Sus scrofa: one gene and its partners. The protein of the gene in region 1 interacts with the protein of each later gene in a pairwise test. Links are inferred from orthologs where the notes say so. Each region holds a gene or a part of one and is shown in the gene's direction. Other genes may lie near its edges.

Region 1 (5,281 bases):
GCATGTCTTAGAAAGTAAAGTTCCAGAGCATAAAGAAAAAAGTACAAAGTAGATTTTAAACCTGAACAACTGGGGGAACACACAGTAAACTATGAGAATGATTTGCCCCAAGAAATCCATGGGTCTCCTCCCCTTGTGCATTAGACTTCCTGCTATTATATTTAGGTTCTGCATTCCTTTCTCTGGCTTTCAGGCTTTTGGTGGAAGTGAATCATCATTTCTAAGAAATGAGGACTGCAGTGATTCACCCGAAAGCTTATAATACCACGTATCAATTCCTAAGAAGGCGACCTGACATTTACCATCCGGCTTTTATCATCTGAGTGATCCTGGCCAAAACACTCATCCCTGAACTTTTGTTTGCCTACAGAGAAGACAAGGATTATATGTGTTTAACAACCTCACAAAGGCTGCTGTGAGGCTCACCTGAGATGATAAAGGAGGGAAATGCTTTGTAAGCAGGACAGTGTCTACATAGTCTTCAGGATACATTTCAACCAGCAATTCCACTCTGTCTTTAAGGTGGCATTTAACACACATCCAGGTCTAAGAGTATCCCCCCGCCTCCATTTTGGTAAACCTCAAAACAGATTTTAAGACTATCTGCCAGGCTCTCTGGAATTTTTCTTTTCTAGATGCCCACATAAGTTGGTGTTGGTGGATATCGGGCTGCGTTCCAAGAGGATGGTGTGTGTGTGTGTGTGTGTGTGTGTGTTTTACTTTGTTTTTATTATGGCCGCATCCCTGCAGATGGAAGTTCCTGGACCAGGGATTGAATGCTAGCCACACAGCTGAGACCTACCCTACAGCTGGGTCAGGTCAGCGCCGGATCCTTTAACCCACTGCTCTGGCCAGCAGCAAACCTAGCAGCTGCAGTGGGGTTCTTAACCCATTGCCCCACAGTGGGAACCCCTCAAGATTGGTTTTGAGGCCCGTCGTGGCCCAGCGGAAAGAATCCGACTAGGAACCATGAGGTTGCAGGTTCCATCCCTGGCCTCGCTCATTGGGTTAAGGATCCGCGTTGCCTTGAGCTGTGGTGTAGGTTGCAGACGCGGCTCGGATCCCACGTTACTGTGGCTCTGGCATAGGCCAGCGGCTACAGCTCTGATTAGACCCCTAGCCTGGGAACTTCTATATGCCGCGGGCGCGGCCCTCAAAAAGACAAAAAAAAAAAAAAAAAAAAAAAGACAAAAGGATGGTTTTGATTAGTGATTTGTCTCTTTGTGTGTGTTACTGAGGGCAGCATCTCCCTCCACCTCCAGCAGGATCAAGTCCCAGTTCCCAATTAAGACTGTTCCCCCCACACCCACCCCGCCCCCGCCACACACACCGCAGAGCCCTGCGGGTGCCCTGCTCCGGTCCTGGCTACTTCCATCCGAAGCATCCAACGTCCCCGCCCAGGTTCGGCCCTAAGTAGCCCTGAGGACACAACAAGCAACTAGTTACGAAGCTGTAATGAAGAGTACTGGTAGGAAAATTAATAGTTTTAGGCTGGTTGATGCAAAGCTTTGGTGCTTTCTCTGCTGTTCCTTTCCTCCACTACTTCTACTAGAAAACCGTAGCCAAGGAAGCCTTGGGACCCGAGGGACGGGAGTGATCTTGCTTTCGGATTTACCCTACCATTGCAGGATCCCAAACGGCTTCCTCGGTGACCCCTCTGTCATCGTACCCTCATCTCTGCAGCTAAGCCCTTCCTTGATAGAAAAGAGAAAGGATCAGAGACGTCCTGCTTCCAGCTCTCGCTGCCGTCCTCCTCCCCCGCTCTGTAACTCCCACCTTGCAATGATCTCCATCCATTCTTTACCTTTTCCCCCCAAGTGAAACAATTCCAACCCCTGGAACAGGCAGCTAACGAATCTTAAAGTGGTTGGGAAAACCTGTTTTAAGTAGCCGGATTCCCAGAAAGGGTCAAGGTGCTACGTTGTCAGCCTCTCGGCACTTGGCCTCTAGCCGCAGGGGTCGGCGGGGCGGGGCCGCCGTGGCTCCGCCCCACGCGCGGTCCCTCTCTCTGGCCCCAGGCCCCGCGGCGCCTAGATCCCCGCGCTGGCGAGTTTTGGCTGCACTGCCTGCAGAGCCCGCTGGCCGCGCGCCCTGGGGTTGCAGTGGCGGCCGCCGCGGCACTAGACAGATCCCCGCGGGTGCCCGCGCTCCCGCCCCGGAGCCGCCGCCTGGGCCCGCGCAGGGCGGGTCCGGGGCTCTCCATGCTGCCGGCCCCAGGGCTGCGGAGCCGGCCGGGTGGCTACAGCGATGGCGGCGGAAAAGGAGGCGGCGGCGGCGGCGAGAGGTGAGGCTGTGGCAGGCGACTCCAGGTGTGGGAGCTGGGCCCGTCGTGCTTGGGGCGCTCGGGCTGGGCTGAGGGGCGGGAGGCGGGCCAGGAGACGCCGGGTGGGCGCAATTTGCTGGGGGCTCTCCTCGCACTTGGCATCACCTCGGATGGACTCTGGAGCCCAGGCCGTTCGTTGCGGCACAGGTGAGGCGCGGCGCCCCGCGAGTCCTTCCCTGGAGTCGGAGGTGGGGAGTGACGCCCGCGATCGCTGCCGGCTTTCGGGCTGCACGCAGCCCAATTTTTTTGGCCCCGGGCTGGGCGCTTTGGTGAAAGTGAGCTGGCGAGAGACCATCCACCTTGTGATGGCGAGCAGCCTACCCTCGCCGACCACTGGGCGCCCACTTAGACGTCTGCAGGGACTGCTGCACAGACTTCTTGGATTTCATTTTCCTCTTGTATAACCCAGTTGTCATCAGCCATTGAACGAGATCGGGCTCTGCGAGCCCATCCCCTCTGAACTGCAAAGACTCACTTCTGTTCCCTTCTTCGGAAACTGACCCGATGCCGTCTGACCCGCAGGCGAGGCCCGCTTTTCTCAATCTGCAAAGTCATATTTTGCCACACTACAGCCCTCTGTTAGCGACAGGCGGCTCTTGTGCCCTTTCAACTTTAGGAACGCCACTAGTGGAATTTGTTTTGTTTTATATGGGGGGGGGGCTAGTTTTTGTGATTTGAGCTGGAAGCATTGCTCTCTTTTCCTCTCGTATTCCCTGGCGACATTCTGTGGTTTCTTCCATGGGACTACTCATAATTATGCGCTTATCATAAAATATTTGTTCCTTAAGACAAATGGGAGGCCAGAAAAAAAAAAAAAACATGGAAAAATTAAAGGAAGACTGCAGAGAGAAGTTCGGAGAAGTATTTTACTACTCCACTTTCCTTTTGGAATGAGTTTAGGTTCTTCTCTGAAATACAGCAATAAGAGGAGATGCTTTTGAAAATCTAATACAGTTTGGGGATTTGGATCATGGGGAGAGTTCTAAAATTCTATCATTTGAATATTTGAAGCCTTTCTGCATGATATAAAGATGTGAGTAAGCACTGGTTTTAAAAGAGAAGGCAGTACGCATCGTGTTAGGCTGAGACATCCTTTCATTTCTGGCTGTGACTGAACTCTGCCTTTTACTAGGTCACTAGGGTTATTTAGCTTTAGTTTCTTCATCAGTAAAATGGGGATCATTACAGTATCTTACAGGATTGTTTGGGTTAAATGAGATATAAATGCCTTTAAATATATATAACATGCTTCACCCACTACTTGGGAAGTAATAAGTACTCCATAAACATTAGCCTAATATTTTAATTTACAGCTTCCATTTTCTTGGTGTCAGTAATAAATCTTTTTCTTTTTTAGGGCCACACCAAAGTATATGGAATTTCCCAGGCTAGGGGTCAAATCAGAACTGTAGCTGCTAGCCTACACCACAGCCACAGCAATGCCAGATCTGAGCCACGTCTGTGACCTACACAACAGGTCATGGCAACACCAGATCCTTAACCCACTGAGCAAGGCCAGGGATCAAACCCAAGTCTCATGGATGCTAGTTGGGATGTTACTGCTGAGTCGTGATGGGAACTCCAAAAAAAAATTTTTTTTTTCTTTTTTGGCCACTCCGAGGCATATGAAGTCCTAGGCCAGGGATCAGATTCAAGCCACAGTCTTGACCTAAGCCACAGCTGTGGCAACACTGGATCCTTAACCCAATGTGCCAGATGGGGGATGGAACCTGCATCCCAGTGCTCCTAAGACGTCGCCAATCCTGTTGCGCCACAGCAGGAACTCCAAAAGCAATAAATCTTTCTAGCCTATTAAGAAAGTTTTGTTGCATGCATGTTAAAACTGGCCACATTGAAAGAATTTGGGCTTTTCTGAAAAAAGAGATGTGAAAATACACCCACTAATTCAAAACAGGGCTTTCACCAGGTAAGTGTTACAACAAGTTTTTGGACAAAGAATTTATTGTTGTTTAGCAGAATATCAGATATTAGGTTAGGAATGATCCAAATTAATCTTTCTTAGGTAAGAGGAGCAAAGTTAGCATGGGAGCTGGGAGGACCAGCATTTATTGAGGTCCTATCATGGACCAGGCATTTTGAAAGGGATACCATCTTTCATCTCCTAACAGCCCTGTCATGTAAGTGGGATTATCTCCCTGTCAAAGATGAGATGAGAAAACTGAGGCTGTAGCCAGAAAGTGGCAAAACTGAAAAAAATCTGTGGACACTGCCCATGCTGCTTTTCTTTCTTTTCATCTCACTGCATGGTTTAATCCGCAGTATGCTCACTTCCAGACACCCTCTTTATCTTAAGAGGTAGAGAAAAAAAAAATACTATTACAGATCCTCGTTTCAGGGGGCAGGGAGGGGGGAGCAAAACAAAACAGAATCCATGGCCTTGTTGTTTTCCTTTGCACAAAATCCCTGCAGATTCCTTTTTTCCTAAGCACTTTGACATTAGGGCCCTCATGGGAGAATAAAAATCTAAAACTGGTGGTGCAGAGAAAACTGCCCCCCATGGTTTGGTTACACTGCTGAAAAAAATCTTGGGGGCTAGACTTGAAGATTCCCCCCCCCAAACATAATTGCCTGCTCATTTACTTTTTTGCAACAGGCTTATGGTAAACACCATGATCAAGCAAGCTGCCAAGTGACTGGGCGTCCTCCCAGTAAATGATTCCAGGATCCTTTAGTTAGAGGGTGATCTTGGGGGAGCAGCACATTCCCCAGACTAACAGCCAGGCTTGGCTTTGGGTCTAGGCATCCGAAGGGCAACTTTCTCAACACCCTCCTATTTTTTTTTTTTTTTTAAACCATCTCATGCTTTTACCTATGATGTTACCAGACCTCTTTCTGCAATTATAGTGGCCTAAATTCATTTTTTTTTTTTTTTGTGACTCAGACATCAAAAGTTGTATCCTAATTTTGCATAAACTGCTCTTCCTGCCCTAGATCCTT
Region 2 (5,164 bases), on another chromosome or scaffold:
TTTGCTTGGAGAGAATATGGGGAAAAGGTAAGTTGTGAACCCAGCCATGGGAAATGTTCAAGCAGTGTCATAGGACTGAGCAAAAAACAGGGGATTATCAACAGGTCTTGGTAAATGATTAAATACAGAAAGTGAGAGGGGAGTCAAAGATGAATATGATTTGTTCCCAGTGACTAAGAGGACAATGGAATCATTAAAAAGGGCAAAGGTATTTTGAAAATATGTGTTCCAGATGATGTAGAATATGAGGACATAGCACTTTCTCCAGCATAAAATCCAAACATCCACACCCTAGGAAAAGCATTCAGCAAGCTTCTGTACCCTCAGTATTGTTAAACTTACCTCCTCTCTTGCTCTGGCTATGTTAAGATTCTTGATTGCAAGTGACAGAAAACCTCTCATTGGTTTAAGCAGTAAATACATGAATTTATTGAATAATTTAACTGAAATTTCCAGTTATGTAGTCCACATTAAATTCAGGGCATCAAAACACGTTTGCAGCCCACATCTCCATTTTTGAATCTGCTTTTTTCCATGCTGCCTTCTTTCTCAGACTCTGTGAGTGGGAAGTTGGCTTCAGGCCTCCATTTTTCCAGAATTAAATCCATTGGAAAAAGAGAGATCACTCCTCTTGTTAAGTCCAGTTTAATGCAGAGGATTAACTCAAATATGTTTTCCCCTGGGGTGCTGCCCCAGCCAAAGGTCTGAGAGTGAAGAAAGGATAGTTCTCCAGGAAACTATCAGAGTAGGGAATGAAGGCTGACCGGGGAAAAATGTCTACTAAACTTCTGTCTGCTACTGATGACTCCATTAGAATTTCCCACTCGTGTCGGAAAAACGCTCATGTAAACGATCAGGGATCTGAATAAGTTCCTCAGTTGTAATGTTCTTTTCATCTTGAGTACACAGCAAGAATTTGAAAAGTTTACTGATATGAATGTTACCTTGAGGGGAGGATTTTATAGTCAAAACAGGTGTTTATTTTTTGAAACAGGACGACTACTTCTATTTCAAATCCAAAGAACATTAAAATGTGAAAACTACTAGGAATCAGGGCTGTAAAGACCTCTTTTCCAATAATTTTCAACCGCCGAAATACGTTTTCCCGTGCGGACCAAGTGTCTTAACTATCAAAGGTTAAGATAAGGACTATTAGGATAAGGATATCCTAAGATAAGTGCGCAGTACTCACACGTTTTTCTAACAAGGGAAGCGGTGCAAATTAGGGTCCTGGTTTATCCTACAGCTTCACCCCCCACTTTGCCTTATACTGTCACCTGGCCTTTAAGGCCAAGTAAGAAACTCCAAAGCGGCACAGCCGTACCTTCTTTTGCCTCCCTCCTCCAGCCAGGGCTCCCGCCCAGTTTCCTCAGGCCCACCTTCCAGCGAGAAGCAACTAAAGCAGTGCACCCCCAGGATAGCGCAAAGGAAGAGTCTGGAGCTCAGTCACCCTCACAAATTCCCTCTTCCAGACCCAAGAAACGAAGCGCAAGGGATGCTATTGGAGAAGGGAAAAAGCTCTTGCGCCTGCCAATACCGGAAAATTTCCCCTGGCGCTGGCAGTCATTCGCCTCTCTCTCTCTCTCAGAGAGACCCCTCCGCGGGAAGAAGGAGAGGGTGATTCCTCGGGACCCCTCCGCCTGGAACCACCCTCTCCTTCTCCCCGCTCCCCGCATCCAGGGTGAAAGCCGAAGCCGCCTCCCTAGAGCTGCCCGGGCCGGCCGCGCCCTCCGCCGACCAGGCCCGCCTCCCCTGCTTTCCTGGAACCGTGCGGGCAGCGGGGTGCGGGGAGACTAGGGGTTTCCTTCCCGCCCTGCGGCGGGCGGCCCGGGGCCCCGGGATCTCTTCGCTGCTCCGCGCTGCCTAACGGGCAAGTCGCATGCGCGCCGAGCCGCGCCGGGGAGATGAGAGCGAGGGGAGGGGCGGACGCACAGCGCCGGCCGGCGGAGCCCGGGGTCACGAGGACGCATGCGCCGGAGGGAGCGCACTCTCCGACGCGGATTGCGACTGCCCGCTTTGAAAAGGAAACCCCCAGGGCGCGAGCGCGAGGGAAAGCTGGCCCAGACGCGTGCGCGCTCCCGGTGAGTGTCGCCCACCCGGTGGGCCTTGGCTGGACGTCCGCCGGCGGCTGGCTTGGGCGGCGCATGCGCTCCCGGGGCCGGTGGAGGAGGGGAGGCAGGGAGGGGGAGGAGGAGCGGGCGGCGGTGGCGGTGCCTCGGGCTGGGTGGGGGGCGCCGTCCGTTCAGGTGCTGCTGGTGCTGGGGCCGCCGCGTATCCCGGACCCGGCCGGGTCTGCGCTTCCGAGTCGCCGCCGCCGGACCCCGGGGTGGGGTGGGGAGGAAGCCGGAGACGCCGCGCGCCACACGGTGAGGGCGCGGGGAAGGGGAGGGAGGGGGGGCGGCGTGCGGGGCTGGGGGCGGTGGCCGGCGGGGGGCCGGGCGCTGGAGCCAAGTTTTGCCTCTCACCCTGGTGAGTGTTTTCGGGAGTTGGGCGGAGGCCCGGCGGCGCGGGGCCCTCGAGGACAGCGGGGTTACCTGCGGGGTAGGGGCGGGATCGGGGTGCCCGGCGGGGCCCGGTGGCCAGAGCGCTCCCTTGGGTTGGGGCCGATTGCAGCGGTCGAGCGGCCGGGACCGCCGGCGACCTGGTGCGGGGAGCGCTTTCGCCTGGGACCCGCTAGGCCTTGTGACCCACTTTATTCCTGTCACAACCCGGGCACGTTTGGAGCGGCGCCCAATGGGGCGCGGGGACGGCCAGCTCCTCGGGGAACCCCCGCCCTCCCGGCGTGCTGTCCGCGGGGCCGCCGCCCGAGGGCTAGTTCCGTTGGTGGTCGCGGTTCCAGGCCGGGTCCTCATGGCGCCTGCCCTTCCCGGTCCCTTTCCGCCTGCGGAGCCGGTCCTGGCGCCCTGGCCCTCGGATCGTCATTTCCACCGCCGAGCGCCCGGAGCTTAAGCCCCCGAGTGCGTTTTTGCCGGTGGAGCAGTCCACAAAGCAAAGCCTCCCCTCTGACCTGGCAAATGAGACGTGGAATCAGGTGGCGATTTCTTGCTGTTAGGATGCCACGCTAATACTTAACAGCCTTCTAACTTTAACCAAACCAAACCAGTGTTTTCTTTTACAGCGAAAGAAAAGCACCAGAAGTAAAGAAACTTTTACAGCTTTTGTTGATTTGGCTGTTAACGCTGATCCCCCGAATCAAAAAAAGGTAATCAAACTTGAAAGTTTGCATTTTAATTTGTAGCTTCATTTTAAATGATGAGAGGAGAAAATTGTGCAGTGTTTACCCTCCACTTGGTTGAAAAACAAAGGTTCTAAAAAGGCTATATTTATATAATGAGTGGGTTTCTCTGTTTAAAATCTTGTTGAGGGGGAAAAACTAACTCAGGTGTTAAGTAGTAAACTGATGAGAACGTCATTAAAGGTTAGCCTAAGGAAGATAGAAGGAAAGTTGTGGGACAACTGGTCATAGTCAGCTATGAAAGAAAACAATGAGGAAGGGTTCTGTGTACTGACCTGGGAAGAGCTCCAAAATATGTTATGAAGTGAAAAAAAGATGTAGGGCTGTGTGAATAATGTGCTGCTTTGTGTGTTAAGGGGACAGGCGAGGAATAAGAATACAAGCTTGCGTTTGCTTTTCTAAGTATAAAGCGACTCTGGAAAGGGAGAAACTGCAGAACTGGTAATGGTGGGCGAGAGGGGGAAGGAGCCTGATGAGGGGATGGTGGGAAATGACGTTGTGTATGTCTTATTTTTAAAGTATTTGGACTGTATTATGGATTCATAAACTAAACAGAAGTCCTTCTTTCCAAAATAACTTGTTATGTGTTTTTGTTTGTTGCTTATTTCTCTTTCCTAATTTATGGTGATTTTGGACATTTTCAACATGATTTCTCTTAATATTTTTAAGGAAAATGAGCTGTAAAATTCAAAGAAAGCTTAGGGTAAGTTTGGCTGTCTATGCCTCGATTTTTAAGGTGCTGGTGTCACATTTAATTTTTAAAGCTGTTTAGTCACATTTTACTTTGCCGAAATATGACATCATTTACATTTGGCATTATGGCTGGATTATAAAGATTTCAGAGCATGGTTTGCCTCCTTTTTTTTTTTTTTTTTTTTCAGGAATCATACTTGCATAAAATTTGACTTTTAGTTTTTTTAACCCCAAAGTTGTCATGACAAATAGTTGGAGAGTATGAGCACTCCATTAAAATGGTAATAGAATCGTTTGTCCAGGTAGTTTGCTTTGCAGATTTGGGAAATGCTTTTCTCAAGACAATCAGATATGAACCTCAGTGACATGTAACTTTATATGTATATTTATTTTTATAGTACTTTCGGGGAATTAAAACTAGCAGTCAGTGCAGAACATCAAAATTTTTTTATGGCTTATTGATTGCTCCACACAGTACATGATTTGGGGAAGGGTACTCAGAACCTCTTGGATGCTAATATAATGAAAGTAGTGAATGTTGAGTAGTGGTTGACAGTTACTGTGGGCATTTTCGTTATGTTTCCAGTATTCCTTTTTATTTTGTACGATAGGATAATTATTTTTGTTTGACTTAGAGGTCTCTAGTCAAACTTATGCATATTTTTTCATTTGAATTCCATGTGGGTCTATTCAGTCTTTTTGAAAAAATAGAATTGCATTTCAAAATTTTACTTAAAATTTTGTTATTGTTTTTCAAATTATAGAAGTAGAGTGGTGTTCATGAGAAATTAAAACAATGCAGTGTATATGTACGTGAAGCAGCCTTTGCACGTGTCCACCTCTTCTCACATCTCTGCAGAAATGACTGCTGTTAACAGTGTTGTATAACCTTCGAGTTCTTTTTCTGTGCATTTACAAACATGAATTTTCAGTCTTGAGAACTGAATTGTCTTGTTTTGTCCGCTTGTTTGCCTTCAATGTGAGCTCTGTTAGTGTCACAGGTCAGGGAAATGACCTGGAGTGTGTCAGAAAGTTTAACATATAGTATGCGCCTTAGGACAGTCTCATCTTTTCACTGGTGAGGGGCTGGTTAGTTTGGGGCACAGTTACGGTTTGTAGTGAGCTCTCACTGTTGTGAGCTTTAATCTGATGTGGATTGAATTTACCTTTAGACTTAGAGTCCGTGGCTTTTATAGGACTCTTTAGGGTCCACATTTCTAGGGTTTTGACCTGGTC
Region 3 (5,392 bases), on another chromosome or scaffold:
TTTAAATTCTGCATTAAATCTGGTTAAAAGCACAGGACTCTCCTTTTCTAGGTGTTAGTCATGCCATGCTTAAGGGCAGGGCAAAAGCTACTTGCCTAAAGGAAAGGGAGGGCCTAGAAAAACAAAGCAAAATAAAATGACTTCATTTTTGAAAATGATGTTTTCTGCTTTTGGAAAGGGAGGGACTTCAAACTACAGTGTGTGCCAAGTGCCTCCTCCTCCTCCTTGAAAAGCCCTCCAAGTCAGAAGCAAGCCTAAGAATAATAGCTTCTCTTAGGATGCTCAAAGCTCCTGCAGCTGATTATTTTTCAGCAGGCGAATTAGACAAAAATAATACAAGTGGGAAATAAAGAGAATGACCTACTTTACAGGGGGGAAAAAGGAGCTCTGGGTGAGCTTTTTTGATCTAATTGACAGTGCTGGGTTGCATGCCCAAATAAGGCGCTGTGGGTCGGTCTCCCCGGGAGAGGGTTTGCCTTGAACTTGAGTGGGGAGTAGATAAAGCAAGGACCCTGGAACCTAGTGGGGGGCGATTCCAGTCTGCTGCCAGCGTTCAGAAGAGAGGCCTTAGGAGATTTCTAGTCTAGAAAACCTAATCTGATGGAAAAGAATGAGTGGGGAGCTTTCCTCTCCAGGGCTACTGGTCGGAATGTGGGAAGGACCCAGGGACATCCTAAAAAGGTTCCTGGTTGTACCTCTAGGTGACCTAGAGGGTGACCTCCCCTGGAGGTAGGGGATGTCTCCGGAGGCGCCTCCACTTGAGGAACGCCGCCGCCCCGCCGGAAGGGAACGGAGTGGGGTCTTCGAGTCTTAGAGATCTCTCCGGGCCTCGGCGGGGGGCGCGGTCTCCCTTTTCCACCAGGCTCTGCTTTGGAGCCCCGCTGAGCTCGGGCACAGCAGCTCCTGGCTCCCAGAGATAATATTTATGGGCCTGTCTGTGTTCGCTGTTTGCGGGAGCCTCACTGAAAGCCTCCCTGTTTCCTCGCGCGCAGCTTTGGCTTCTCCTTTTCTTGGATTCTCGCCTGTCTCCTCCCACAGAGGGAAAAAAAAAAAGGTCACGTATGTTTGGAAAAATATGTAGGTCAGTGGAACATTTCCTGCACTGGTGCAAAAGGAGAGGAGGGCAGCAGGGGAGGGGAAGGAGCAGCAGCGCGGAGCTCCGGGTGCGCGCTCCTGGCCATGGCCCCCCAGCCCACGTGCCTCTGCCTAGGAGGGGGGCAATGGGCCGGCTTCTTTCCATCCTTGACCCATTTTTCCGGACCGGCTACGTTCGCCTTGGAAGAAACACCGATCATTCCTCCCCAGCAGGCGCGGAGGTCCTCCGCAAAGGGCGCTCGCCCATGTCTCCCCGACCCCCGCTGGGGCTCGTAGGAAAAGCGCAGCGGTCCGTCTGCAAAGACGCGCCCGGTGCCATGGCTCCGGCTCCGTGCGCAGGCCTGCCCCGCGAGGACGGCGGCAGGGGACCACAGTGGCGTATTCGCTCCCAAAGCACGGGACCGAGGGGTGGCAGCGGGCTGGGCGTGGGTCGGCACCTGGCCGGGGAGGAAGGTTCCCTGCCACCCCTATTGACAACTTTAACCGGACCTCAGCCGGCAGCTCGGCATCCGCTGGTCTCTCCTCGGGCCAGCTGCGCTCTAGGCACACACCAGCCCCCGCCCTGAGCCGAGTCCCGACCCTGTGCCCCCAGCCGGACCCGGCCGCGCGTTCCCTGGCAGCGGGCAGAAGCGGCGGCGGCCTCGGGGCACGGGTGTCTGTGCCGCCCAGGGAAGCAGGGGTCCGAGGGTCCATCTGCCCGTAGGGCGCGCAGGGTGCGTGTCCAAGGGTGGATCGCGGCCAGGGCCCGGCGTGCGGCCAGGAGACACCCGGCCGGCGGCGGCAGCCGGAGCTCAGGGAAGGAGGAGGAGGACCGGGAGGAGGAGGAGGAGTACCGAGAGGAGGCGGGAGGAGGGAGGGGGAGGAGGAAGAGGCGGCGGCGGCTGTCCCCGCCGGCTCTGCGTGCGGAAGAGTTTGCCGCGCGAGCAGCCGGCCTCCCGCAGGAGCCAAGGGACCGGCGGCGGCGGCGGCGGCCCGGGAGTGGCGGCCGCGTAGCTTCGAGAACCGCAGCCGCGGCGGCGGCGGCGGCGGCAGCCAGAGCAGCGCCTCCCGCCGCCGCCCGGGAGGAGCTCGCCGCGCCCGCTCGCCGCCTCGGCTCCCAGCGGCGGTGGCGGGAGGCGCGTCTCCCCGGCCCAGTCCGCGCCCGGCCCCGCGGGGCCGCCCCGGCCCGCTCCGAGGTAAGGGCCGCACCGGGGGACGCGGGGGCCCGGGTGGGAGGGCGTGCGCACTGGGTCTCGGGACTCGGTCACCTGCTCGCTGGCGCGGTGGGCGCGCGGGGCCCCCCGGGGGACGCTCGGCCCCGGGCTGCGCCGCGCGGGGGTCGGCGGCGAGAGGAGGTGGGGCCCCACCCCCAGTCCCCGGTCCCCGCAGCCGGGACGTCGCGTCTTGCGGGACCGCAGCGGCAGCTGGACTGGTGGGTTCCGTGTGCGTCTCGCCGTAGGAGGCAGAGGACAAGACACCCTGAGCCTCAGGATTTGGGGTGCTCATTGAGTACCGTCGGGGTGGGTGGAGGCCGTGCCCAGATAGCAGCCTCGAAGGTCGTCCATTGGCCTCCCTGAGCCCATCGCGCGCCCCACGGAGCATGGGGGTGCCAGGACCCCGGGAGAGTGCGGCGTGCGTGCTGCAGGGCCGAGGTCTCTCTCGGTCCCTAGATCGGAATTGGTTTGGGCCGGAAGGGGTGCTGAGCCGGCCCCCTGGACGCCTGGAGAGCGCGTAGCCCGGCCCCTTGCGTCGGCCTGCCATTCTGAGCTCCCCAGGTTGGATGCCAGCGTGTTGTTTTGTTGGGAGGTGTGCCCCCCTCCTCTCCCAGAGCCGAAGAGGGAGGCTTACCTTTGACCTTTCCATGGAGCCGTGCAGGGTGCGGAACTGGGGTGGGGGGTAGGGACCAAATTAAAAACCAACCCGCTCCTCTGCTTGCCACTCCTTAACTGCTCAAGGTAAGAAAGTTTGTTTTCGGCCCTGTGATTCATAAATAATTAGTAACCAGTTTTGTTGATTAAGCAAGATGGAAACCTTAAAAATACACACGCACTTCCAGAAAGTCTAAAGGATAACAGGGTTGTATCTGCGAGGCTTTAGTTCGGAAAGTTAAAAACCCCAGAGCTCAACAGGTGTTCAGGAGGGGTCCAAGAGGGAAGAGCTCGGCGGGTTTGGTCTTTAGCACCTGATCCTTTGATTCATCAAATTGATCGGCCTGTTTCTTTCCGGTTAAATATTGAGTAGTTATTAAATTAATTAGCAGAGGGGAGCTGATCATTCTAGATCATTTAGGACTCATTTCTTCTTTTCCTTAATAGGAGGGTTTTCCCCGTTTGCACGTTCCAGATAATTAGCTCAAAAAGTAGTTCCTGGCAAGGTTCAGTTCTGTCCATATCTCTGTCTATCAAACACTATCCAACTCAATCCCGGGTCGGTGAATTGACCGACTCATTATGGCTTGCATTAAAACACAGCAAGTTTTAATTGCTCCACCTTAGGAGGTGTCAGTTCAAAACTCAAGGGCACGTAGCAGCTCTTGCTGCCCTTAAGAGTTCTTAAAGGAAATGTTTGCCGAAAATAACCTCCAAAAGCATTTTAAAATAACTCCCCTATAAATATGATGTTTAAAAGAGCTGTTCAGGCTTGGGCCAGTGTTTTGCAAAAGCAAAAAATCTGTTTGATGGTGCAGCTAAACAGGACGGGTAGAGGTATTGGCATCTCTCAGCAGTCTACCTAAAGATTTAGTTAAAAATAAAGTGTGCGCTGTAAAAGCTTTCAATAATTGTCTTCCATCTCACAGAGAGAGGTGGAGTGTGGCTTAGAAGAATTGTAAATATGCTGCTTTTAGCCATTTTCTTCTTGGAAATCGATGCCTCTATTTATTTGCTGATCTGTCCCACTGTGGCAGGTATAGAGTTGGTTTTATTCTCACTGCTCCCCAGAATGACTCTTGCGAAGGCCAGAGAAAGGAATATATTCTGGAGGAAATATGTTATTAATAAAACATCCCCCCCAAAGAGTTAGGTATGCCAAGAAACGAGCCAAGTGAGGCTTCACTGATTGCTGTGATGAAAAAAAATACCCTGATATGAGAAGAAAGTGTTTAGATGGCAACGAAAGAAGTCATCTTTCTCTAGAAAACAATTACAATTGTTTTTAAGTCCGTTTGGTTCTTGTAAGAGTTTAGGCCCTTTTTACTGTTTCTGGCTAATTAATAAATTATTAATGAAAATGATAAAATAATAAAGATAGTTATAAATAACCCACCTCGTGGTTAGGCAGTCGAATTCATCTTTTATTTTTTTTGGAACCATCTTTCTTAACTCTCAATAATCTTTATAGCTGGCTCTCAGCACCGCTACTTGTTTTTGGGTTACAAAGTCAAAATTAATAATTTTTTTTTAGATTCAAACCATAATGCATTCATATGTTTTTTTTCTCTCACCAGTTTTATATGGTAATTTTTCATAAGTCTGGCTTTTGAGCCTTAAGCATCTAAAGGGCTAAGTCCTTTTCTTTAATTTTTCAAACAAGTATGTATTTTGTTCTTTCCATGAAAAGTCGGTTTTTCCATTGTGATCCGGACCCTGACTGTCCCATGCTGACCCCATGCAGACGGCAGCATCTTTTTCCCAAGAGGAGTCAGACTGTGAGGTGTTGAAAATAACCCAGTACCGCAGTGTTCTTGGTGTTCTTATGCCAGTGGTCTAATTGGCTGCATTAAAGAAGCATCTGAATGAGTTTTGCATTTAAATATTGGAATGATACTCGATGCATTATTTGCTTACAGGAATGTTGGATTAGCATGTTCCTGATTTTCATTAAGTTTGTGGCATAGGCATAGTCAGGGACTGTGACACTGAGTCCCCACGACATCTCCTCCCTTTGAGGCCTTGTTCATCATAGATGCTGCATAGGTAGGTGTAGGAAATGAGCTGACTCGTCAATGATGGTTATCCAGAGGTCAGACATAGCTGAATGCTAATGCGGTACTTTGAGTAATTCTAGTTTAAATCTGATGATGATTAATAGCACCTTAGAGCACTAAATAACACTTAGTACATGTGAACCTATGTTTTAAAGGGAAATTTTTGAAAAGCAGTCTTCGTCTCAGGCACTGGTGTTCTCACTGAATTCTTTGAAACTGGGGACCACTTGGCATTTTAAGGAAAGTAATTTCTAGGTCAAGTTCCCCCAGAGATCACTTGAGCTTCCATGGGTCATAAGACAATGTGTGGTTTCCATTTGATGGTTTGGAATAGAAGAGAGTTTATCTTTTAAATTGGTATAAAAAAATAACTGTTTGAAAAAGGTGGAGGGT

The links.
Region 2: the proteins of ARNTL2 (region 1) and CLOCK interact in binary tests that used the Homo sapiens proteins (3 or more experiments, as listed by UniProt). The link is inferred for Sus scrofa from reciprocal best matches to the Homo sapiens genes BMAL2 and CLOCK.
Region 3: the proteins of ARNTL2 (region 1) and NPAS2 interact in binary tests that used the Homo sapiens proteins (3 or more experiments, as listed by UniProt). The link is inferred for Sus scrofa from reciprocal best matches to the Homo sapiens genes BMAL2 and NPAS2.

Annotation. Positions count from the first base shown.
Region 1 is NC_010447.5:46,479,247-46,484,527, reverse strand, and holds the start of ARNTL2 (aryl hydrocarbon receptor nuclear translocator-like protein 2), read left to right. Parts: upstream 1-2,158; 5' UTR 2,159-2,247; coding exon 2,248-2,284; intron 2,285-2,319; exon of another isoform or gene 2,320-2,433; coding exon of another isoform or gene 2,434-2,470; intron 2,471-5,281. UniProt on the Homo sapiens protein: Transcriptional activator which forms a core component of the circadian clock.
Region 2 is NC_010450.4:54,906,931-54,912,094, reverse strand, and holds the start of CLOCK (circadian locomoter output cycles protein kaput), read left to right. Parts: upstream 1-1,902; 5' UTR 1,903-2,081; intron 2,082-2,173; exon of another isoform or gene 2,174-2,366; intron 2,367-3,118; 5' UTR 3,119-3,202; intron 3,203-3,904; exon of another isoform or gene 3,905-3,938; intron 3,939-5,164. UniProt on the Homo sapiens protein: Transcriptional activator which forms a core component of the circadian clock.
Region 3 is NC_010445.4:53,487,192-53,492,583, reverse strand, and holds the start of NPAS2 (neuronal PAS domain-containing protein 2), read left to right. Parts: upstream 1-2,208; 5' UTR 2,209-2,270; intron 2,271-2,878; exon of another isoform or gene 2,879-3,029; intron 3,030-5,392. UniProt on the Homo sapiens protein: Transcriptional activator which forms a core component of the circadian clock.